4 linked regions of the Drosophila melanogaster genome follow. The protein of the gene in region 3 interacts with the protein of the main gene of each other region in a pairwise test. Each region holds a gene or a part of one and is shown on either strand. Other genes may lie near its edges.

Evidence for each region.
Region 1: the proteins of Plap (region 3) and cv-c interact in a two-hybrid assay, tested with the Drosophila melanogaster proteins (one large-scale study listed by BioGRID).
Region 2: the proteins of Plap (region 3) and ple interact in a two-hybrid assay, tested with the Drosophila melanogaster proteins (one large-scale study listed by BioGRID).
Region 4: the proteins of Plap (region 3) and P5CDh1 interact in a two-hybrid assay, tested with the Drosophila melanogaster proteins (one large-scale study listed by BioGRID).

Annotation. Positions count from the first base shown.
Region 1 is NT_033777.3:14,478,681-14,483,257, reverse strand, and holds the start of cv-c (crossveinless c), read left to right. Parts: upstream 1-1,544; 5' UTR 1,545-1,678; exon of another isoform or gene 1,679-2,345; 5' UTR 2,346-2,616; intron 2,617-4,577.
Region 2 is NT_037436.4:6,713,493-6,721,355, reverse strand, and holds the start of ple (pale), read left to right. Parts: upstream 1-1,830; 5' UTR 1,831-2,282; coding exon 2,283-2,351; intron 2,352-3,340; coding exon 3,341-3,452; intron 3,453-3,683; coding exon 3,684-3,803; intron 3,804-3,929; coding exon 3,930-4,022; intron 4,023-4,406; coding exon 4,407-5,226; intron 5,227-5,521; coding exon 5,522-5,648; intron 5,649-5,987; coding exon 5,988-6,386; 3' UTR 6,387-7,863. UniProt on the Drosophila melanogaster protein: Plays an important role in the physiology of adrenergic neurons.
Region 3 is NT_033779.5:1,166,640-1,172,076, reverse strand, and holds Plap (phospholipase A2 activator protein), read left to right. Parts: upstream 1-1,711; 5' UTR 1,712-1,713; coding exon of another isoform or gene 1,714-1,843; 5' UTR 1,844-1,849; exon of another isoform or gene 1,850-1,896; intron 1,897-1,997; exon of another isoform or gene 1,998-2,118; 5' UTR 2,119-2,291; coding exon 2,292-2,449; intron 2,450-2,515; coding exon 2,516-3,382; intron 3,383-3,438; coding exon 3,439-4,065; intron 4,066-4,122; coding exon 4,123-4,834; 3' UTR 4,835-4,905; downstream 4,906-5,437. Other genes in the region: charon, read left to right, coding at 1-54, 164-363, 434-1,047, 1,121-1,284; CG31922 (uncharacterized protein), read right to left, coding at 1,312-1,466, 1,524-1,658, 1,714-1,843; CG14341 (uncharacterized protein), read right to left, coding at 4,915-5,094, 5,155-5,437.
Region 4 is NT_037436.4:21,836,141-21,843,205, forward strand, and holds P5CDh1 (delta-1-Pyrroline-5-carboxylate dehydrogenase 1), read right to left. Parts: upstream 5,217-7,065; 5' UTR 5,091-5,216; intron 5,059-5,090; exon of another isoform or gene 4,886-5,058; intron 3,988-4,885; exon of another isoform or gene 3,911-3,987; intron 3,692-3,910; exon of another isoform or gene 3,688-3,691; 5' UTR 3,591-3,687; coding exon 3,526-3,590; intron 3,395-3,525; coding exon 2,921-3,394; intron 2,773-2,920; coding exon 2,601-2,772; intron 2,540-2,600; coding exon 2,352-2,539; intron 2,295-2,351; coding exon 2,072-2,294; intron 2,005-2,071; coding exon 1,637-2,004; intron 1,584-1,636; coding exon 1,349-1,583; 3' UTR 525-1,348; downstream 1-524. Other genes in the region: CG14563 (uncharacterized protein), read right to left, coding at 5,767-5,837, 5,918-6,215.

The sequences.
Region 1 (4,577 bases), on a different chromosome or scaffold from region 3:
GATTTCAAAGCCGGCAAGAGAACCCGAGCACGTAGATCGGGTCGGGAATGGTTATGGGTAAATGGGTATATCTCTCTGCGACGTTGATGCGCACCTTCGATAAGGATGAGACCGACCGGCGAACACACCTCAAAACGTTATGAAATGCGGAGGGAACGAGAAGAGAAAACGCAAGAGAAAAGCCAATAGAATGGAAAAATAAGGAGATGGCACAAAAACAGGAAAGAGTTGACACGGCTAATCCTGACGAATTGTTGTTAGCTGTCTTGGTTCATTCAACAATTTGGTCGGAACAAGAGTTCGTTCTCCTCCATAAGAATGATTTATAATTTCACGTGCTTTATTCTTGGACCTTACAAACGTCTTCGGTTTTAATATTTATTAACTAAGCACCACCAATTAGCTGCAACTAATTAACTGCCAGTTAGAGGTGTTTATATGATTTTTTTCCTCTTATCTTATACTCCTACAAATTATTAATGGTATTCAAAAGGCTCATTATGCCATTAACTTTATGGTTTTCAAACTGTGGTCATATCTGTATTTTTAACTAAATTACAGACTTGAAGGATTTTAAATTAAAAGTTTAGCTATCTAATTAGATAATTATTCATTTACACAAATCGTAGAACTCTGCTAACCGGTTATTGAGTATTTTATTGCACTTGAAACGTAAGTTGCTTTAAATCATGATTATATTATGATTAGTAATATATAATTTGTTCTTCTGACTAGGAACATTAGTTTTGTTTTAGTAGGTTACAAAAGTAAAGTGATTAAATAGTCCACAGCTCACTTGTGAGTTTTTCATTATCATTATATACAGTTAGTTTGTCTCGCTTTCGTTTTGGTTCACACAATTTTATGGGTGAAAAAGTGTTAAGCCAATGCAGGCGCTAATCAAATTGAGACAACGAAAGTGTTAAGTCGACTTCCAGGAATCGGGCTATTAAATGAGCGTTGGGCCATAAATCTGCAGATAAGACAATGCCCCACTGATAAGAACTAAGGGAGATGCCAGTCGATAAAGCCTGAAAGAGGCTGCACAAAGATGAGGCCCGGGTCATAAAATCAGAAACCCAAACACACTAAATAAGCCATAGAGAAGACTAACATGGGATTTTATCACCGCTTGTTAGTGTAAATTTACAAACACATTCGAATGGGTGTGTAAGAGCTACAAATACATCCATATGCTTGGAGTTTTTCCAACTGTTTTTACTTTCAATAAACAATTCTAGGGGATTTCCTCTCGAACTGCAACATGCTTGAGGTCGTTTGAGATCGCTCCGATCGGCTCGAATTGAGCTGTTGGCGCAGTTTGAGCGCAACATGTTGCTCTCTTCATAATTCTTGCTGTTAGCTCGCTCTGTTAACCGGTAATCGCGGGTCTCGCGCATGTTAACTCCATGTGAACAGCAAGCGAACGTTTTGAGTTCCCATAGAAATAGCGTCTGTTAACCGCTAAAACGCTGTATCTTAACATTTCCATTGAAAACAAAGCGGGTAAGCAGGGTGATCCAACCACGAGTTTGTTGGATACAACAGTTGGGTTTCCACCTCGACCGGGAAAAGTCGGGCAAATTTAAAGCGCTCCTCTGTTATTCAAATTTTTTAAAAACATACTGAATCCAAAAAACCGTTGTTTATTGGCAGTTCTCAGGTTTTTACGAAAAAGGTGAACATTGAATTTAGGATCCGAAAAAACGTGCGGGTCAAGAGATGTAAATATATTGCAAAATACTGCATCAAGTGTTAATAATCATTTTCAGAAACATAAGCTAAAAAACTGTGAGTGCGTGACATCGTGTGTTTTGGATACGTTTTATGAATGAGCGCGGGTGTGAACGAATTTTTCGGAGTCAACAACAAATAACGAACGCGATAAACAGAGGCACACTCACACAACCGCGATTAAAAAGGCACTCTCCATTAAACAATAAAGAAATCTCTTGTTTTTCGAAAAGCAAATAGAAAATACGAAAATGTAGCGCGGAAATTGCAGTGCCAAAGAAAACAAACGCATCGTTTGTTGGGCTTGAATTTCGCACGGTTTTAACACTTCCCATAATAAAAAATAAACATCTTTCGAAACCAGAAAAGTAAAAATAAAAACTGCGTGCAGAAAAATATATAAAATTAAATAGTGCATAAAAATCGGTTTTCTTTGCGGTTCGGTTCCGTTTTTGTTTATTTGTAGTGTGCGTGTGTTTCTGTTTCCCCCTTTCTATCTCTATCCCTGTCTCTTTCTCTGCCTCACCGCCCGTCTCTTTCTCTCTTTCGAGTAAGAGAACGCGTGCTTTTGTTTTCGATTACGTTTACTACATTTTTTGTACGCCCCATAGAAAAAAACATGACGAAATGTTGTTGTTGAAAACGAGAAATAAATACAAGTGATTCAGAAAAATAAAAAAATAAACGAAACAACGAAAATAAAAGAGAAATTACACATCTGATTTATACGAAAAGAAAAGTTCTGTGAAGCAATATACGAAAGTAAAATTCTATTTGGTGTTTATAGAATCTCCGATGGTGTTGTGAAATCAAAGAAATAAAGAAAACCCAAAGCTACAGATACTCTCTTCGCGAGCAGCAACCGCAAACGCATCTAAAAAGGTAAATAGAGCTTCGGGACCCCATGTCGCTTATCTTCGGGGTAGGATAAACAATCCATCCAGCTTATCTGCAGGTCCATAAAGATCTGCAGATCTCGAGAAATCCAGACGTCGCTTGTTTATGGGTGGCTTCGGGGCTTCCTAGAACGAAACGTCAGAGTTTTAGATACATCTTGTGATTGTCGCCGGGTTTGCCACTTACTTTCACTCCCCAAAATTTACCTGAGTTTCTCGGTTTTCTAGTCTTTGACTTTGTGGTACAACTTTATCTTGTCAGCTGCGAACTGAAAAAGATAGTGATAACCTAAATAGTATATGTTTACAGTTAGTTAGTCGCTGGCATAATCTACGCGACGCGTTCGAGTTATCTGCGATCGTTTTTATTGGCCTTATACGAGTTCTGATCGGCTTTCTTTACCATTTCCGCTGCTGTTTGAATTGTCAGCGCTTTATTTTGATTCATAAATCATAATCGCTATGTATTGTAGTTTGTTTACACTCTGGTCGAGTGCTGCTTTTTCCCTCCAGCGTTTGTTTTTAATTCATGGGAATAATCACCGAAAAGTGCACAAACAATCCGAATCCGATTTGCATACTTATTGAGAACTCAGCCAAATGGCAGGCGTAGCATTTCCGGTTCTAAAATGCGTCATCGGAGTATGTCGATCGTTTTAACCCCCGAGAAACTGAAACTGGCGACCCGTTTTGTCTACCATAACAACAACTCTTGATACGGCCCGCCCTTTATTATTTTACAGCATAGCCACCTTATATATAGAAACTCGTTTTTCGTTGTTTCTGCCTTTGTTGTTTATACTCCACATACGTACCGATAAGTATGTAAATAAGTTCACAGCGAAACACTTGTGCTGGGTGCTTGATAAAATAGCAAATTTCAGGTAAATAAAACTGAAACAATATTTCGACTGGCCTGGCGTTCTTCATCTTCTGGTTGGGAAAGACCCAAAAAAATTGATAATTCAATGTTTATAAGTTACATGCAGTTAGGATTTTTAATATTATTTCATTTATTTAGATATGAAATTCAAAACATAAACAAAATAAACAAGACATCTCCCATCCTAAAACATCTTCCGTAAAAAACTCGCTTCTGATTTTTAATTAAACAAAACCATGTTACACCCAATCCAGCAGCTTAGAAGCAAATCTCTGCCCAGATTTTCCCTGATTTAGTAAAATCGCTTTCCCCTTGTTCGGCAGCTCGCAAACATTTATCAGGCGGGGCAGGTTCATCAATTTCGTGTGTGATAAATGTCGTACAAGAATTTACACAAATATGTATGCATGTCTCTATGTCTCTGCTCCAGCTGCCGGGTACAAGCTGAGTTGACAAAATGATTTGTTTGGGCGCCCCATGTTTTGTCTTATTGTCGCCAACCCCTCACCAGAGCATCTTCATGATCACCGATCGCTGAGCGCCACCCTGAACTTAAGGCCAGAATCTCGAATCTCGATGCAGATCTCATCTACGGACTGGAGTAACGAAACAGCCACTAATTCCAAACAATGTAAGGCATTATTTATTTTTAACTGAGGTCATCAGCGTAGACATCGTCTATTACAAAAAACGCCCGCCTCTCTCTAGAATTTTTCATCTCATCGTGCTGGGAGCTCCGGTTCTCCGGTTCTACGATTCCCCAGTTCTCAGTGCTCCATTCTCTGTTCTCAGTTTTCCGATCGCTACACAGAAACACAATATGATCGGTTTTAAATCTGATATTATGATTAAATTCAAGCATAAGGAGGAAAATTTTGAAATCTTATAAGATCTATCTGCTCTTTTAAGTAAAAATTTCTTAATTACATAAAGACATGAATAATATTTTACTGAGCACTTCTTTTTTGTGTTATTATTATTATTGTATTAAAACATCGATTTTTTATGTGTACGGTTTTGAGTTCTATAGTGTTGTTCTTATTTCAAACTTAATGTGCTCGGTG
Region 2 (7,863 bases), on a different chromosome or scaffold from region 3:
AAGTAAATGTTTAGCCGAATGTGAATGTGGTATTAAGGCTAATGTGGGAACTTTTTTTGCCAGTGACTAATGGGTAATATAGTACGCAGTTTACTGCTAGTTGGATAGTATTATATTTTTTAAATAATTTAAGTTATTTCCAGTAAGTGCTATTTATTAATTATTACCCTCGATATTCTAAGTAAAAAGCTTTTCGATGTTGTCAAATGTATTTCCTAGCTCCCACAAACTTATTAACTCACCAATCCCACTCTATCGATCCAATTTGTATAATGGATCTATCAGATCGATAATTATGTTTTTGCTACTCCAGATGCCTTAATAACTTAATGCGGATCGAAGCAAATAGACGTATATGTGATGTGTTAGCTCATTATCGGGCTCGTTAGCTCAATCAAACGATTCGATCTACTAATTTGAACGGTCCGCATTAACATCGGCATTAGTTAGTTAGTTAGTTGCTAGATGCAGGCTGCAAGGATGACCGGATTGTTGGCAAGTACAAGTGCACATATGTAGATCAATGGCAAATTTGCTTCGATCTCGACATCGCCGCTAACTGAATTTGGTTAAAAGCTAACACGATTGAAAATAATGCTGCCACTGCCACTGCCACTGAAAATGTCATTCGAATTGGCGGCCCGAGTCCAATTTGAGAAGCGGCGGCAGCCTTGCCAACGTTATCAGCTTACAGGACAGGAATATATATATAATTATTTATATAGATTGCTATATGGTCGGTCTCGTAATCCGTCAGCTGCCATATGCAAATCCCAATCGCCAGATGTTTTGACGGGGCTTTCAATTATGCCATAGATATTGTAATGTGCCTGTACTTATCGCCCGGGCTTAGTTTAATGTGCTACATTTACGCATGCAAATTAGTTGTTAAATGTGCTTTTAAAATTTAATCGATATGGCTGGGTGCCACCTACTTACATCTCGGGCACGCACGCAGCCATGTGATCCGTACTTCCTGTTTACCATTACTTTGTTTTCCAGCTCACTTTCACTTGGTCCCTATACGATCCGCTTCAGCATCCGCTCTAGTTCTGACGCGATTCGATTGAGTCATTCAGGATCTAATGCGAATTGCTGGGTTCTAAAACTGAACGAGATCTTCGACTGTTGTTACACCTAGAAAAATGGAACGTATCATAAACGTAAGGTGCTTTTATTGTCTAAAACATTCTTAATAATTTTAACCTACTTCTTTAAAATAATTCTAGTGGTTAAAAACATTTCCCTAAAACAACTTACAGAGTAAGAATGTCATATATTTTCATTATTTTGCTCTGTGCACACACGGCGTATGCTTAACATTTGGCATGGACTAGCTTCGCTTTGTTTGGATTTGTTTTGGTTTTTTCTGTATGACCTGTTGAGGCTTTTCAAATGACTCCCGTTCGACTGACTGAATACTTTTGGGGTATTCTACCACCATTCCGATTGACGCGCACGCGCTAATGGTTAACCCCGCTTTTTAGCCAAGCTACAAGAGCAACAAAAACATGGCCAATGCGACGTTCTAGCCTGTTGCCGCACTTGAACTTGGTCGACCAAGTTGAGTCGAGTCAGGCCCCGCGATTCTCGACCCACTCAGCTGGCTGGCTAGCTGGTTAGCTGGCTGGTGAGAGGAAACCCCACGGCATCGGCATCTTGGCTTTAACCCAGCTACAGCTGGGCAACTACGTCACAGTCGCGTCATGCGAAAACCAGTCATCGTCGTTTGGTGAAGCAAACAATCGTCGGCAATCGGCCGAAACGTTCGTTAACTTGGCCGTCGGAATCGGAATCTGGGGGTATTTAAGCGGCGGCAACTCGACATGAAGCATGCATTGATTCGCTATCATTCGCCCTAAAGACTTGTGCCCAGCCTCAAGTAGTTTGCTGACTCTGTTTGTTGTAATACAATTTAGCTGACAAGGATAATACACATCACCACATCAGTTTCGAGTTCGCGAAAGGATCCAGCTAAAGTTCAACCGATCAACCATCTATATATCCCGCCGTGAATTCGAGAGTCGAGAGTTCTTGTCCAGCTCAATTCTAGACGCAAACAGTTCAGTACCAGGAGCGATTTTCTTGAAAAACAAAACCACCCAGCCAGATCGCCAATAAGCAGTGAAAGTGTCAACACATTTCGAGTGCTTATTGCAAATCAAACAAGAAAAGCGTAACCAAGCACATAAGCAAATAGTATTCTAAGTGTTTTTGCCAACACTTTGCGTAAATTTTTGTTGTTCACCCCAAACGAAAACAACCCAAACACACAAAAAAAAATGATGGCCGTTGCAGCAGCCCAAAAGAACCGCGAGATGTTCGCCATCAAGAAATCCTACAGTATTGAGGTGAGTCGAAAATCCAGCAAAACATACAATTTCCAAATCGAATTGTAAAAAAAAAGAAGCAAATGAGTGACTAGATTTGGTCTACGTGACTATCTAAAGGTTTTGTGTTTTCAAAAAAAAACCAGTTAACCGGCCAGTAGTCGAGCCCATTTTTGTGATCCCGCATTTCTTTTTCGCCAATTCAATTTGACCAAACTCAATCCTCGGTTGGCCATTAAGTCACACCTCTAAGAACAGGCGGCCCAAATCGAAAGGCCCAAATCGCCAACGGACACAACGGGTTGTGTGTTAAGTTATTATTTAACAAATAAGTGAAAGTGGCTGCCTTTGGGCCCCATGCACTTAGCCTGGCCGAAACAGTCGCGCCTCATTGTTGTTGACTCGTCTCTGTTTATGTTTATGCTGCGTCCGAGCAAAACAAAAAATATGAAATCAATATAAATGATTCAATGAGTTGGTCATCTTTCATCAGCCAAAGCGGTGGCCCAAAAAAAAAAACTGAAGAAAACAAACAAACAAAAAAAAAAAAAAACGAGCTGACAGTGAAAACTGCAAGTGATGGAAACCTTTTTCCCCCCATCAAGAAAAAGAAAGAAAAAAAACCTTTAACGATCGCCAGTTGCATTTTTTTCCCGCCAGAATCGCATGGGGATTTTCGATTTCTCAGTCACATATCATTTATCTTCGCACCTGCCCGCTTCGAAGCGGCGACATCGCATTAAATTACCATTCGTGGCTTTGAATCACAATCAATACAGTTCCATGAATAGCCAGCTTTATTCAAAGAAAAAGATCTGAAGACGGCGCTTTCACACACCATTTTATATAATATTTTCAAAATTGCGCAATACTCTGCTCAAAGTCACCACCCAAGCGTGGAGCCGAAGAAAGCCACCCTGGCTTGAAGGTCAAGGCAATCGTCTAATTTCCGCTCCACATCCTGCCAGTGTCACTAACACGGACTTCAATCTTTTCGCTTTCGTTTCCAGAATGGCTATCCATCCCGCCGTCGCAGCCTGGTGGATGATGCCCGTTTCGAGACCCTGGTGGTCAAGCAGACCAAACAAACCGTCCTCGAGGAGGCCCGCAGCAAGGCAAATGGTAAGTGGATAGGGTCCAACAAGTGGGTCACTAAAATAGCTCCAAAGAGGGTTTCTATTTGGGATCAAAAGGGAAATTTTGCAGCTAGGGCTTTACTTGTTGATTAAAAACTTAAAAAGTTGCAATTTTTATTTCATTTTATTCGTTTTGACATAGATTTGCGTTTTTTTCTTATTCATTTTAACCCTTTATTTATTATTTGCCTTCGTTTTTATTTTTATGATTTTAAAGACGATTCCCTGGAAGATTGCATTGTGCAGGCTCAGGAGCACATTCCCTCCGAGCAAGATGTGGAGCTCCAGGACGAGCATGCCAATCTGGAGAACCTGCCCTTGGAGGAATATGTTCCAGGTTAATATCCATTTCCATTTCAATTCCCATGCCAGTTACTCCTCTTTCTGAGCCTATTATCTTTGATTTGATTTTGATTATGATTTTCATGGGCTTTATTATTATTTTTATTTCATTCGCTTTTAGTTGAGGAGGATGTTGAGTTTGAGAGCGTTGAACAGGAGCAGTCGGAGTCGCAGTCGCAGGAGCCAGAAGGCAACCAACAGCCGACCAAGAACGGTGAGCAGGGGGTTCTAGAATCCAGCAGCCAACCATAAGTAGTACTTAACTTCTGAGAGGGGCTTTTGAAAAGCGTGCGACATTGATTTAAGTGCTTAATATGATAAAGTGCCAGGGCAGAGGAAAAGCACTCAGCCACACGGACAATTGTGAGTGGGCGCGCTCGCTCGCTCTCTCTCTCTCTCTCTCTCTCTCTGTGGAAATGTCGCATTTCCCTTTTTCATTTGTTACGCTCGACTTAATACAAGTACGAAATGCGTTTGCCTGGCAACCGTCTCACTGCCACTGCCACGTAGCTCGCTTATCGTTTACGTGACCCTAAGCCTTGGAAGATTGCATCCTTAACCATCACATTATCCCCGCTTTTTTTTGGCCCTTTTGCAGATTACGGTCTCACCGAGGACGAGATTTTGTTGGCCAATGCCGCCTCCGAATCCTCGGATGCCGAGGCTGCCATGCAGAGTGCCGCTTTGGTGGTCCGCCTCAAGGAGGGCATCTCCTCCTTGGGTCGCATCCTCAAGGCCATCGAAACCTTCCACGGCACCGTCCAGCATGTGGAGTCCCGTCAGTCGCGCGTGGAGGGCGTGGACCACGATGTCCTCATCAAGTTGGACATGACCCGTGGCAATCTGCTGCAGCTGATCCGCTCCCTCAGGCAGTCGGGCTCCTTCAGCAGCATGAATCTGATGGCCGACAATAACTTGAATGTCAAGGCTCCGTGGTTCCCCAAGCACGCCTCCGAATTGGATAACTGCAACCATCTGATGACCAAGTACGAGCCCGATTTGGACATGAACCACCCCGGATTCGCCGACAAGGTATACCGCCAGCGTCGCAAGGAAATTGCCGAGATCGCATTCGCCTACAAGTACGGAGACCCGATCCCATTCATCGACTACTCCGATGTGGAGGTCAAGACCTGGCGCTCGGTGTTCAAGACCGTTCAGGATCTGGCTCCCAAGCACGCCTGTGCCGAGTACCGGGCCGCCTTCCAGAAGCTCCAGGATGAGCAGATCTTCGTGGAGACCCGTCTGCCCCAGTTGCAGGAGATGTCCGACTTTCTGCGCAAGAACACCGGATTCTCTCTCCGTCCTGCCGCCGGTCTTTTGACTGCCCGGGACTTCCTTGCCTCCTTGGCCTTCCGCATCTTCCAGAGCACCCAGTATGTGCGCCACGTTAACTCACCATACCACACCCCCGAGCCGTAAGTATCTATCATCATATTTTACTAGGGGGTTAAAATCACTTCAAAAAGGGGAGAAAAAGGCTCTTTGTCCTAGCCTAATTGCATTTGCCTGCCTGCCTGCCGCCTGCCTCTGTGTGTGTGTGGGTGGTTGGGTTTCCTTTTCCGCTTTTCCCAAGCAACTTTTGTCGCCTGGAACACAGGCAAATTGGCTACAGGAACTGCGGCAGGCTGCCCAGCTCATTTAACCAGACTAATTGCCTTATGCCAGCACATTTTCCACACTTTTAACAAGCATTATTCTATGCCATTACAGCGACTCCATTCACGAGCTGCTGGGTCACATGCCCCTGCTGGCCGATCCCAGCTTCGCCCAGTTCTCGCAGGAGATTGGACTGGCCTCGCTGGGTGCCTCCGACGAAGAAATCGAGAAGCTGTCCACGGTGAGTTGATTTTCTAATTGAGTTGCAATGTAACGACCTTAGACTCAAGTGCAGCTATGACGCAGCTAGTTTTTTTTCGCAACCAAGATCATTGTTTAGTCACTGTCAAAGTCGAAGAGGAAAAGTGAACTTCAATGCCAGAATAATTTTTTTCTTTTTATTCATATAGTTTACAGATACAATTTAATGCATTTCAAAACACTTAATTGTGATTTTAAATAAGTTTTTAAGTTCAGAAAACCTTGATCTTATAAGTCATACAACTTCCTGCATTATCTGCCTTTGCTTTTATTTTCCTTCCTATTTACTCATTGGTTCCTTACCATTTCATTTCTACAGGTATACTGGTTCACTGTTGAGTTCGGTCTCTGCAAGGAACATGGTCAGATCAAGGCCTACGGTGCTGGACTCCTGAGCTCCTACGGTGAGCTGCTCCATGCCATCAGCGACAAGTGCGAGCACCGCGCCTTCGAGCCCGCATCCACCGCCGTGCAGCCCTACCAGGATCAGGAGTACCAGCCCATCTACTATGTGGCCGAGAGCTTCGAGGATGCCAAGGACAAGTTCCGTCGCTGGGTGAGCACCATGTCGCGTCCATTCGAGGTGCGTTTCAACCCGCACACCGAGCGCGTCGAGGTGCTGGACTCCGTCGACAAGCTGGAGACTCTGGTGCACCAGATGAACACGGAGATTTTGCATCTGACCAACGCCATCTCCAAGTTGCGACGCCCGTTCTAAGTGGATGGGGGGGAGATATATGTATGATATATAGAAGCACCCAAAAACATCGCCCAAAAAAACACCAGCCACCCCCACCACCCAAACATACACATACAGGTGCAACGGTCTCATTTATACAAATTAATTTTAAATTGACATACCGCACAATCCCTCGTACACGTAATCCTTAAACCAAAATTAAGGCATCGCGCATTATTTTTTATTTTTTGTTTATTGTTTTTTGTTTAATTTTTATTTAATTGTCATCGAAAAGTTGTAATTGTCGAATCGCGCACATGGTAAAAAACACAAAAATCAAGCATATTTATTTGTTGATCACCCGATACACCACCCAACCTGCATATTTATCACCGCAACTATTATTGGACCAAAAAATCTTTAGACGTTTAAGTGATGTGAAAACAAAGCCAAGCCAAGCCAAGCAAAGCAAAGCGAATTAAGTGAAGTGAAAAGCTGGGAAAGCAAAGTTCAGATACATCCGCACTTAGTAGGCAAAGTACCACACAAAAACCGATTGTATACTCAGACAAAAATTGTTTTTGTATTATTATTATCTTCATTTTGCCTCTCACAATATTTACCTAGACTATATAGACACGCGATATAGTATTCCCGGTATAGGAAGCTTCATTTAGAGAGAGTATTTCTAAACAAAAATGATATAGATACAACAATCGAGCAAGGAACAAATGGAAAACAAACAAAAAAAAAAACGGAAAAGATAAAAAATGAAATGGAAAACAAAACAGAATTTTCTTACATTGTACAATAACTGTAAACGACAATATTACTATTGTGTACTATTATTATTATTATCTATTATTATACTTATGACTATTACGTATTGTATTGTAGGTATGTAGAGTTTAAACATTATTATTTTATTTAAGTTTTGTGTATTAATAAAATTAAAAATGCAATTGAAAAATAATTACTCTTTGGTTTTTTCATTTGATTATCTTCTTTGGCAATTCGAAACTCTAAAGTCTGAATCTGTTTAGGGAACATTTTATGACATCAAAATGGAATATTTATTTAAAATTAATGAGTAGAATCGAGGAATATGATAAATATATTTATGGGTGAGAAGAAGTGAATCTCATGTGAACTAAAATCGAGCTATGTAGAAAATATTTCACAAATTTGATGAAATTATATAAAATAACGAAAAACCTTGGACCAATACATATGTATTATTATAAAGTAATTAAAATCAAAATATTTCAAAGTAAACAAAGTAAAACATTGGGATCAAGAATATTACATATTTATAGTTAACGTAGCATGGAATTTTATTGTTATTGTTCGATGTATTGTAGTTGCAATTGGATCGAAAGCCAACCAAGTGTTAACATTTCTGCAAGCAATTAGCCAAACTAATTACTAATTATATTCGCACATAAATCTATATATATAATCAACTTAAAGCGCAGTTGGTCCCCAAGCCAGGCTTCGTTGGTTCTGAAAAATTCAA
Region 3 (5,437 bases):
GAGGAGAAGCAACTGACGCCCGTGATCACTAAACGGAAGAAAAGGGATGTCACCGTAAGTACAAGTATTATTATGATGTAGTAGTTCCTCCTGGAAAGTACTAAGTTCATAAATCTCGAATGGAAATATATATACGATTTTATTATAAATATCTTTCTTACAGCAAGCGCAAAACTTCGAATCATATCAGATCACGAATAAAACCCCTGTACGCCGAAACTCTACCTTGTCGGATATATCGTTCAACTCCGATGAGTTGACCCGGGTGGAAAACTTTATAAGCGGAAACACCGAGGACCGCATTATACGCATCATGGCCAACGAATTCAGAAAGTCGCACATAATGTCCGAAGAAGGATTGCTGTAAGTATTCATTTAGCCGAATAAGACCATCATCATCGTAATGATATCATCTTTTCACATGGCACTTCAGACCCATTCACGAGGAAATACTGCACGGCGATGTTTACGGCGTTAAGCGTCAGATATTTGTGTGCTGCCACGCGAAAATGGACATCAACGAACTACTCACCAGGGACGGCGAGGACTGCCTGGAACTTGCGCTGACGAACGACACGGACACCGAGATTGTATCGCTCATCCTGGACGCTCGCATGATGACCGACCACCTCTACGAGAACTCAAACACAGCTCTTCATCTGGCGGTGATAAACCATATAAATATAGAGTCCATTAGGCTGCTGTTGCGCAGAATCGATTTGAACAGTCTTCTGCTAACCAACGATGATGGTTATACAGTTTTGCACCTGGCAGTGCGCAATAACCAGTTCCTTGTTGTCGAGGCAATCCTTGATAGTATAGACGAGCGCGAGCTGGGGGAAACGGTGTACAGGAGAACCCTGGAGGCAGCGAATCCGAATGAGTGGGACGAGAAGGGCTTCGCCAAGTACTACGATCGTGCCTGCGAACGGCTGGAGCTGAACAAGACGTTGCTAAAGAACCGTGCACATAAGCGGGATGTCATCAATGCATCCGAGGCGAGGGGCGGAAACCCACCGCTTTTCTACGCCGTGGAAGGGGAGCAGGGTAGGTTGCTGTCTATTAGTATATTAGTAGTTGAAGAAGTCCGATTAAGCTTTAAAGTTTCCTATTTGTACAGAACACTTGTGCTACTTCCTGCTTGCGCACTTGGCCGATCCCGACGAGGAGAACTTAAGCGGGCATTCCCCGAAATCGTATCACTACGAATACGCTCGCACGTTGCGCATCAACCTGAAAGTGGCGCGCGTCATGGAGAAAGTAATTAGCATACTGAATACTTGACATAAAGTGTGCATTCTGTAAATATATTTAGCCCCAACTGAGTTCAAAGTCGGTTTGCTTGAGTTTTTCCGGGTTAATGGGTTGCAAGGAAGGGGGTAATCCCTTTCGCAGATGAGTTTTCCAGGGCCATCTCTTGCATTTGTTGGTTTTCTTTCGGGATTTTCTCTTCTTTCTAGCGAGAACTGAAAGTTTTCAAGAAGAAGTTATTTTTCGTTTTAAATCTGCGTTTTATCACGCACCCAACTTCTCCAGTTCCCGTAGATTATCGCCACTATAGTGGGTAAACTTGCAATATGTTTCAAACTTGCAGTAACTGCCAAAGTATCGCTTGCAAGGAGTTTTCTGCCGCTCTTCAGTCAAAATCTTTTTGGGATCTACAAATATTGAAAATTCAGCTTTTTCGGGAATATCGTGCAACAAAAGCTTTACCCTCGTAACGCTTCAAATAGTTGCTCTTTGCAATTGCGTGTGCAATACCACCATTGTGCAATTTCCTCACATTCAGATCGTTTTTCAGAAAGCAACAGCAGTAGTCGCAATAATAACTTTTGCCACCCATTTAAATGTAAACAAAATAATACAATACTTTTAAGCGTAGAGATGGCAAATGTTATCAAGCCGTTCTCGATAGTTTTCCGGAGCATCGATAACTTTACCAACACTACCACCTTCATGAACCTTTTTGATATCGAACATTTTGAAAACAAATTATTATCGTACAATAATTGTCTGTATTCGACCTATTTAAAAATTAGATATACAATTTTTAAGGACATTACATATTCCGAATACCCAGAATTTTTTTATTTTTAAATTTATAAATTTGGCCGTTAGAATATTCAGAAACTATCGTCTATTGACCTCAAACCCATCGGATCGGTCCACCACTATCTGAGTGTGCGATTTTTTCGCACCGAATGGCAAAATCGCTGACAGCCGGCAAACAAAGTAACATTTCTTGACCGCAGCTGCTTGAACGGGATAACAGGAAGATCAGGACACCAAGCATGGAGCCATCGTTGGACAACTACAAGCTGAGCTGCGAGCTCCTGGGCCACAGCATGGATGTGCGGGCGGTAGCGGTGGGACCTCCAACTCCGGAAGGTCGCCAGACCATTCTGTCCGGTTCGCGGGACAAGAGCACCAAAGTCTGGAAGCCCCATGGGTGAGATTTGGCTGGGTCTGGTCGCTATGAATTACATACATACTAAACTGCCTTCGATCCTCATAGGAACGAGTACTTGGAAAGCCTTACTTTGCAGGACCACAAGAACTTCATCTCGTACATCTGCTTCCTGGAGTCGGAGCGGTGGATCTGCACGGCCAGCAACGACGCCACCATCTGCATCTACAAGCAGGACGGCTTTGTGCCCCTGTTGACCCTCAAGGGTCACGAGTCCACGGTGTGTGCTCTCTCGGCAGGATTGGAGCCACGAAGCCTCATCAGCGGCAGCTGGGACAAGACCGCTCGGGTGTGGACCATCAGCGAGGCGGGTGATGTGTCCTTCGTTGCTTTAGAGGGACACGAGGCGGCGGTTTGGGCGGTGGCCACCTTGAAGGAGCAGCGGAAGTATGTGACTGGTGGTGCGGACAGGAACATCTACTACTGGAACGCGAAAGGCGAGAAGCTGCGCCTGCTTAAGGGTCACACGGATTGCGTGAGGGGTGTCATGGGACTGGATGCGAACACACTGCTCTCCTGCGGAAATGACGCTGTTCTCCGCTTCTGGAACGAGGATGGTGAGTGCGTGCGCGAGATGAACGGACACAGCAACTACATCTACTCCATGGCTCGCAATGAGGCTCTGGGCGACCAAGTGGTGGTCTCCTGCGGCGAGGACAGCACGTTGCGCATGTGGAATGTGATCACCGGCGATGAGCTGGGAGCACCCATCATCCATCCCGGCATTTCAGTGTGGTCCGTAACGTGCCTACAGAACGGGGACATTGTCACCGGCTGTAGCGATGGTGTGGTGAGGGTATTCAGCCACGTTCCTGCTCGCCAAGCAAGTGAAGCAGTCCTTAAAGCCTTCGACTTAGTAGTGGCAACTAGAAAGTCTCAGATTAATGAGGAGATTGGTGGCGTCAAGAAAACTGAGTATGCTACAAGTGGATCTGTCTTATAGAACTAAACATATGGTTATCCTTCTTCAGCCTTCCAGGTCCGGAGGCTCTTCTGTCCAATGGAACGCGCGAGGGTCAAACGAAGATGGTGCGCCATGCCGATGGTTCCGTGAAGTGCTACACCTGGACGCTGGGTAACTGGAACTTGGTAGGCGATGTAACTGGCGCAACTGGAGGAACCCAGTCGAACTCCGGCAAGAAACTGCACGAGGGCAAGGAGTACGACTTTGTGTTCAGCGTGGACATTTCCGACACGGAGCCACCTATCAAGTTGCCCTACAACCGCAGCGACGATCCGTGGCAGGCGGCCCAGACCTTCATCCATCGCCATAGCCTTCCACAGGCCTACCTCGACCAGGTGGCCAACTTTATTATAAAGAACTCGGAAGGCCCCGTGCTGATGGAGCAGGCGCCAACCGGCTATCAGGATCCATTTACTGGTGGCTCCCGCTATGTTCCTGGATCGAGCAACACCAATATGGGAAGCGGCGGCAATGTGGATCCCTTCACTGGAGCCTCGAGTTACTCCACAGCGAGTAGCAATGCTCAGTCGCAGGTGGATGTAAACTTTGTGCGGTCTGGCGACAAACACTTTCCCGTCAGCAACTACCGCATCTTCGACACCTGTGATGCCAAGAAGGTGCTAGAGAAAATGATGTGGGTTTAGATATTTTCTCAGCTAATCCCCAACTAATCCCTACATCTCTTTGGCAGAGAGTTCAATGGCAAACTAAGCCTACCTGATGGAAGAGTGGGAGAGGAGGTCTTGTTGGCCGTAATCAAACTCGCCGATCAATCGCCTGAGCTCGATCTGACCTCCCTGGAAGCTCTGGCCATCCTGCTGAAGTGGCCGGCGTCCATGCAGTTCCCCGTGCTGGACATCCTTCGCCTGGCCGTGCGAAATGAAGCCATCTTCAGTGTCCTGAACAACAGTCACAACTTCCTGGCGACCGTTATCCCTCAATTGAGCGGCTCGGCACCCAACCAGCTCATGGTGGTGCGCTGCCTGGCCAACATCATGAGCCACGCCGCCGGCCGGCAAAATGTGATGTCCCGTCTGGCGGAGATCATCGATCTCGTGGGAGCCATCAAGACGGGCAGTGCCAATCTGCAAATTGCCGTGGCCACCTTCTATTTGAACCTCACAATCTCCCAGACTCTGGACGTGGCGAAGTCGGAGGTGTGTCATGTGGTCACCTCCGGTATTGTGGAGCTGCTCAAGTGGGCCAAGGACTTGGAAGCGTGCTACCGTTCCATGCAGGCCATCGGCAACCTGACCACCACTTCGTGCGGCCAAGAGACCATTGCGCAGGTGGTGTCCGTGGACTATGTGATGGACAAGTTGAGGGAACTTACCATTACTCCGCAGGACAAGAACTTCAGCAAGGTGAATTCTGTGGGCCAGGCCCTGCTGGCTGTGTTCTAAGATCTCCGCCAAGCAACTTCTTATGATCATTCTAAATTATACATATATTGGAGAACTTTTTTTCTAAATACACACAAACGCTATTCTTTCTTGGAATGCTGATGACTCTCGCGCGACGACGACGTTGAGGGTTCGGGTGGATGGTGCCGGTTGTTAATCCGGTCCAGCAGCTCATGCTTCCAATGCTCCTCGGGCACTCCTCTGGCCCAATCCGGCACTGTGATGTTGGGTAACGTTATAGTGGACATCGCTTTGAGTATCTGGAGTGTCGGGATGAAAGTTGCTGGCATGTCTCGCAATTGTAAATCGGAATGTCTTACCTGTTCCGTTCGAGTTTTGTCAAGATCCATTTGGAGTTCCCTGGGTCTTGGTTCACTCCAGACTTGTCTCTCGATTTCCACGTCAGCGGGCTCAATGGCAGGCATGTTGGGGTCTCCGTGGGTGACTGGGGCAGTCATCAGGTCAACATCTTCGTCATTATCCGCGGACGGGGTCTCCTGCTCCCTGGACATCTCCTCGGGATCCGCTGCATCGTTCTCCTCATCCAAAGCGAGTGGTTGGTAGCCGTCGTATGCATCCGAATCATCGTCATCCTCGCTCTCC
Region 4 (7,065 bases), on a different chromosome or scaffold from region 3:
TTACACCTATAAAATAATCCTTATTCTAACGGATATAACTAACTAGTTTAAGTAAAATATTTGCCTTACGCAATAGTTCCGCCAACATGTAAATTCTTTCCAAACTCTTGATTGACTTCGGGAAGTCCGTACTTCCGTTTTAATGTGAATTATTCGAATGCAAATTGGCGGTCGACAAACCCGTGACCAAGCAAATGGTTATTATGACTTTAGCGGATTAAACCCTTTTTTTTTCCTGATCGGACGGAATGAAACCCGAATGCGTTTCGTGGATTTTTTATAAGCCTTTAAGAGTTAAACCCCTATACATTTCTATTGTATATTATATATATTTATAAGGTTCATAAAGAGTAAGCCAAGGTATTTTTCAGACGCTTGGGTTAAATGAAGGGTTGAATTTTCCGCTAACTTGTGGTGATAGCCGGTTTATGAATGCTTATGACAACTTCAATATGTAAAAGATTAATTTGTTTTGTCACATTGGACAATGTATTTAATTGAACTAAGAAAACACGGAAAGAAATACATGTATTTTTTAATAACAGAATTGTTTGTAGTTTGATTACAAATTTGAATCAAATGAAACTAAACCTTTGCATGTTCTCTTCAGACCATCAAGTTTTGAAGTTTAAATTCTACGGGTTTCTAATCTCTAAGAACTCATCTTATTTCGGGTAAAGGAACTGCCCCAATCGATGCGGATAGCATTTTGGGTTAAACGAAATGTTGAAAACGGAACCCAAATAATTCTTTTTAATTCTTTGTTATATTTATTAATATGAATTTGATGCTTACGTTACATGTAACTAGGTTTCACTTTATCTCTTCATGATCTTTCACATTTAGTATTCAGAATGTATTGTCGTTTGATTTCACATACATAGGTGTGTACATTAAGTATTTTATAATTGAAAACGGTTCAACCAATTCAAGCAATTTCGATAACGAATAAAACATAAGGCGGGCCATTTAATTATAAATCATATATAATTAAATAATCACATTGCGTTTAAATCGTAAAATAATGATATTACATAGTATTCATTTAAAATATCCATGTCATGGTGTGTTTGTAGTTCGAAGGTATCAGCATATCAATTTACAAACTTTCGAGGCATTCTCATGGGTTGTTTTGAGATTCTTAGAGTGTGTGTGTATACAAATCGAAGCTATCTGAACTAGGTATGTAGGGTTACGGGGCAGGTCTTTGGGTGTTGGAGATGTTTAAAAGTATTTCAACAAAATACATTTAAGTATGTTTATATAGTTAGTAGTTATATGAGATTCCTGTCTGGTTTTCACTACTTTTGCTCATCCCATTCCCCTTGCGCATCTTCTGTCGGCCAGCTTACTCGCACATGTATGGATAGTTGACGTCCCGCAGCGGCACAAAGGTCTCCTTGATGGACTGCGGAGAGGTCCAGCGCAGAATATAATGTGGTCCTCCGGCCTTGTCATTGGTGCCGGACATCCGGCCGCCTCCGAATGGCTGCTGGCCCACCACGGATCCAGTGGACTTGTCGTTGATGTAGAAGTTTCCAGCGGCCATTTTAAACTCCTGCAGAGCGCACTTGACGAAATCCCTGGAAGCATACGTTATGAACTAAAGATAACCCTTTGTATAGAAGTCTCTTACTCGTCCTGCCCGAATACTGCTCCGGTTAAAGCAAACTTGGTAGAGGTGTGCACCAGTTTCATGGTCTCAAGGAGGTCCGACTCCTTGTACACATAAATAGATAGCACGGGACCGAAAATCTCTTCGGTCATGATCCGGTCCTTGGGATCCTTGCTGAGTACAATGGTCGGATTAACGAAGTAGCCCTTGCTGTCTGAGTAAGTGCCTCCGGCGAGAATCTCGAGGTTCGGGGATTTTTTGGCATGCTCAATGTAGCCCGTAATGCGTTTAAATGCTTTGTCATCAATCACAGCCGACGTGAAGCTGCTGAAGTCTTGAACGTCACCGATCTTCAGCTTTGCTGCCTCGCATACCAGGCCCTCCTTGATCTGCGGGTTAGGGGTTAAACAGGTCAGCGTTGCGAAAACATCGCAATCTGATGCTTTTTAAACTTACCTGTGGCCAAAGGGATTCCGGCACATACATTCGCGAGCAGGCGGAACACTTCTGGCCGCAGTACTCAAATGCTGAGCGTATCGTGGAGGTCACCACTGACTCAACGTCGGCTGATGCATGTATAAAGTGGAAATTCTTGCCGCCACACTCACCAGTCAAGCGAGGAAAGTTCACGTAGTTGTCAATGTTGTTGCCCACCTGCTTCCACAGGCGGTTAAAGGTTCTGTCGTCGGAGGAAATGGTATTGAACGGGAAAATCAATAGACCGACAATTACTTACGGCACAGAGCCGGTGAAATTGATGCCTGCCAGGTGGGGACTGGCCGTAATCGTGTCTCCAAACACGGGCCCATCGGCGGGCACAAAGTTAACGACTCCATCGGGCACTCCCGCTTCGCGCATAATCTTGAAAATAATCCAGTTGGACAGCATGGCAGTGTCCGAGGGCTTCCACAGCACGCCGTTTCCCTGCGAAAATCGAAGGCGGTTGCTTAGTTAATTGGTATTTCCAGCCATTGGCTAGTCTTACCATCAGAGCTGGCGTGTAGGACAAGTTGCCGCCGATGGCCGTAAAGTTAAAGGGGCTGACAGCGGCGATGAAGCCATCAATGCCACGATAGCGCAAGGAGTTCTTCGTGACCTTTATGTTCTCGCTGATGGGCTGGTATTTAGTGACCTCCTTCAGAAAATAGGCATTCATTCTGCGAAATAGAATTTGTATTTATATTGAATATCATAATGAGGAAATGATTGCTTCTTCCATTGGGAAAATCCTTTAAAAAAAATCGATTGGAACAGATTGTGTTCTGGTTCTGCATGTTCCTTGTAATAAATTATGGGGACACTCACCGTATAAAGTCGATAAGCTCCGCTGCTGAATCGATTTCCGCCTGAATCGCCGTCTTTGACTGACCCAGCATGGTGGCGGCGTTGAGATCCTGGCGGTACGTCGTTGCCATTAGGTCCGCTGCCTTCTCCCAGATCTTCAGACGGTCTGCAATCGACACACGGTCCCACTTGGGCTGTGTTTCCACCGCCGTTTTGATGGCCTTCTCGATAAGCTTCTTGTCGGCGTAGTAGAAGCTGGCCAGCTTGTGTTGGTGGTCATGGGGCATGACCTGGTATCGAACCTCCGGCGTCTTGTACTCCTTGCCGCCGATCACGATGGGGATGTCTTCGCAACTCGAGGCCGTGCCCTTTAGAGCCTGCTCGAGGGCCTTACGCTCCTTAGAGTCCTTGAGATATCCCAGGATTGGCTCATTGGCGATCGGGAAGTCCTTCAGTTTAAGGTCCGGTATAACGGAACCCAGACAGCGTGTCGAACTGATAAAAATGAAGCGCGTTCAATGTAATAAAACTAATAAACTACTAGCTAGTGTATGCATAATATGGTTACTTATACATATTGTGTCAGTTGTAAATTATGAAATATAAGGATATAACCTCAGGCATACCTTTTCAACAAGCTCTGCTGAAGACTAGAGCATCTGGAGGAGGAACTTCGCATCATTCGCAACATCTTGTCGGGATTTGGGGCCTGTCTCGTTCGCTGCCGGATTATATAAGCGGTCTCTCAGATTCTTCGTCGTCGTCGGCTCGTACCACCTAGAATTTTGCTATCTGAGCGATAGGCCCGCGAAAAGAGCAAACGTTTGATTAGTATTCATTTATCAGCAACCTTGGCAATTCACTGGGGGTCCGCGTCAAGTCGCGTGATTTTGATAACCAGCCAAACGTGAAGCTCCCGACGACGACACACCCCCCAGATAAGGCGCAAAACAGAAACACTGCGAACCAAAAGAATGTGCACTTGCAAGAAATTCTAGAAGGTGCACTAACTTGGGCAGTTGGTCAACCGAGCGGATGACTGATTTATTTTCAGTTTACTTTATTATCGATAACCACGTTCCCTTTCCCATGCTCACACACGCACTCACACACAAGCGCACTCAGAGCGCTTTTTGCACAAGCAGAAGCTAAAATTTGACGAGCATCAGCTGTTCTGTCTACGAAGCGCACAGTGGGATGAGAGCGTGTCAAAGCTGGCACAATCTAGTTAATCGCAAATTAGTAAATTTATGAATGCTGTTTTATTTGTCGAGTGCCTTGAACGCTGGACTAAAAAATAAAAATTATCTTAAAAACATTTTACACTATGTTTAGAACAAGGCATTGCTACCCAATTCGTGTGCACTGTTCGTTTAAAAAGTGAATGTTTATTTGGCTCAGCTTGTGTCTCGATGAAAATTTAACCAACTGCCCAAAAAGCGAGATTGCAATCTTGTAATTTAAATTGCGTGCTGTTGTCTCTTTCCACTGTGCGGTGGCTACGGAAATTTCCCATTGCCGAAACCAGAAAGATGAAGAGAAGGTGGCTGAAGGGGATGTGGGCAGAAGTACATACGTATGTAGTTCTTGTGTTTTTTAACTGACGCTGCCTTGATTTATGAAATTAAGCGGCACAAATGCTGGGGAAGGGGTGCAATAGCAGCGAAAATGGTAGAGAATCGAAAAAACACCCCACGGTGCGCGTGAGCAGCCCCTGTGAGAGGGATAGAGATGGCTGATAGAGTGGGAGAGGAAGAGTGCGGGAGAAAGGTGGCGAATATGTGGAACAAGCTCTTTTAACGTAAGCATACTTTGGCTATTTGTCTTCCTCTTTCCACTCACTGCTTGTTAAGTGCTTAATAATATGTAACGATGAACTAAAGACATTGATATTAATGCGAAAGGAGAGGAAGTTTATGGAAACGCAGGGAGCGGGAACACCGAGAAATTGCCTTTGGAGGCCAAATGTAAAACAAATTTATTTACTGCTCAGCTGTAGATACACAAGCACACACACAGGCGCAATAGAATGCAGTCGGTTGGCTTTGTTTTTTTGCTTTTCTTATTGGCCCCAATTACGCAATACAATGTTTTTATGCCGCCTATTGGCCTCCGCCTTTTAAGTCGCCGTCCATCCCATTTGAACCTGCAATTCGACTATTCGGCGCTTTTCCACTGATTTCGGGCTTACTTTGTGTGAGTTTCAGGCGACGGCGGCGGAATTCGGCGAGAGCACGAAGTGTGGTGTGCCTTTGTTTTGTGTTTTGCGAGACTATTGGTCGGTCGGTCGAATTTGGACTTGGCTAACGGCCGGGAACTATCGGCAGACCGATACAATTTTGCCCCCCTTACTATCGTGCACCTTACAACACTGTCCATAGCTATCGATAAGGCGCCAAGAATGCACATGGATCAAACTTTGTCGATTTGTTATCACGAAGCAAAAAATATTTTTCGGTATATGGTTATATATGGGATCACAGCCTCAAGGCTTTTTTATAACTATTAAAACGACCAGATATGCGTACGTAGTTATTGACTCAAAGCTAAAAGCTGAGAAAAGGATCTAATGATCCCACAAAGAGTCATGGCAGCATAAACTTGGCGGAACATACATAGGGTCAAATGTGCTAAAAGACATACAAATTATCACATCAGTTCCGGGAGCTAATAAAATTATGGTGGTATACATGAAGGCACTAGTTAGGTGTACAATTTTTTACCAGGTACACTAGTTTTGGACACGTCATAAGAATAAGTCTTGACTTATAGAACATAAATATCATATTTATTAGCACTAACACACTTATGGGGTAGGATGACTTAACCGTATACCTATCACTAAACTATATCAGGTTTCGCGCTTCCTAGCCGTAGTATCCGCTTCCACCCGCACTGGCTGTTGCGAATCCTCCACTGCTGCTGGCGTAGGCCACGTCTAGAGGAAGAAACAGGTCCAAAACACTTGTAGATTACTTGTGTGCTAGGCACCGAGGTGCTATCAGTCGGGAAACTCACTCATGCCATTGCCGCCGTAGGGATATCCTCCATAGGGGTATCCGTACTGCCCGTATCCACCGTACATCGAGTACGGGTTGTAGCCGGGATACGAGTAGTACGGATATCCGCCGTAGCTGTAGGGGTATCCGTACATGCCGCTGCCGTATATGTTCCCGTATCCCGATCCCGCTCCCGCATTAGCGCCGCCGTAATAGGGATAACCGTAGTATTGGCTCGCGGATGGCTGCAGGAAAATGGCGACCAGGAGCAAACCGAACCAACAACATGGAGAGCGGCTCGACTGTTTCACTGACATGATTTTTCTGGCCATGTTTATCGTGTGTAATCCTCGAACGTTGACTGAATGCAAAAACCCCGGCATTAACTGATTTTATAGAGTTTGCCGCCGAATGTTTGCAATTTTAAAGCATAAAACGCTTTTTTAATGGAGCTTAATCGGGCGCCCATCAGCGGCTGCTCGGTTTGCTCGTTCGTGCGTAACCCAGCCGGCGTATACGCAATATTTTTAAATCCCAATATAAACGCTCTGCAAACGTATGTATTTAGTGCAAGTTAACAACAAGAGAACAAAACAAAACAAAACTATTTGGCTCTTTTTTGCCTATCGCCGCGATTACTCATCCCACATCTCGTCTGATTTGTGATTGCCGTTTTGCTATCAATTTAAATTAGTCAGTCAGCCGCTTTTTTTGCCAGGGGTTCACATTTATTCTGCGTAAACACAGTCATTAACCTTAAAATTGGTTGATGGTCCGCCTAGTCATGTGCGATGCCAGTGGTGCTTTCCACTTCTTTGAGGTTCATTGCCGACCTGGACCGTGGTCAATGCTCATTCACGCCCTTCGGATGAGGTCAACCGTAATAACTCCGATTCTGATAATTGGAATCGTATTGGTTTTCGGATTTTCCACTGCGATCAGCTTGGTCGTTGGCCGAGAGTTCAGTTTGAGGGACTTTTGGCTACAGAATTTTGGCCTTGGTGGTCATGCATCGACGCTGAAACTATTCCACAATGCGAATCTGTCGGTTTGGAAAGTGATACTTGAGAACTGCATAATGGAAAGTTCAATGTACTTATAGATTAATTTATTCTTCTTGGCTATGAAAGTAGGCTTACAACTTAGTAATTTAGTGATGTTAGATAC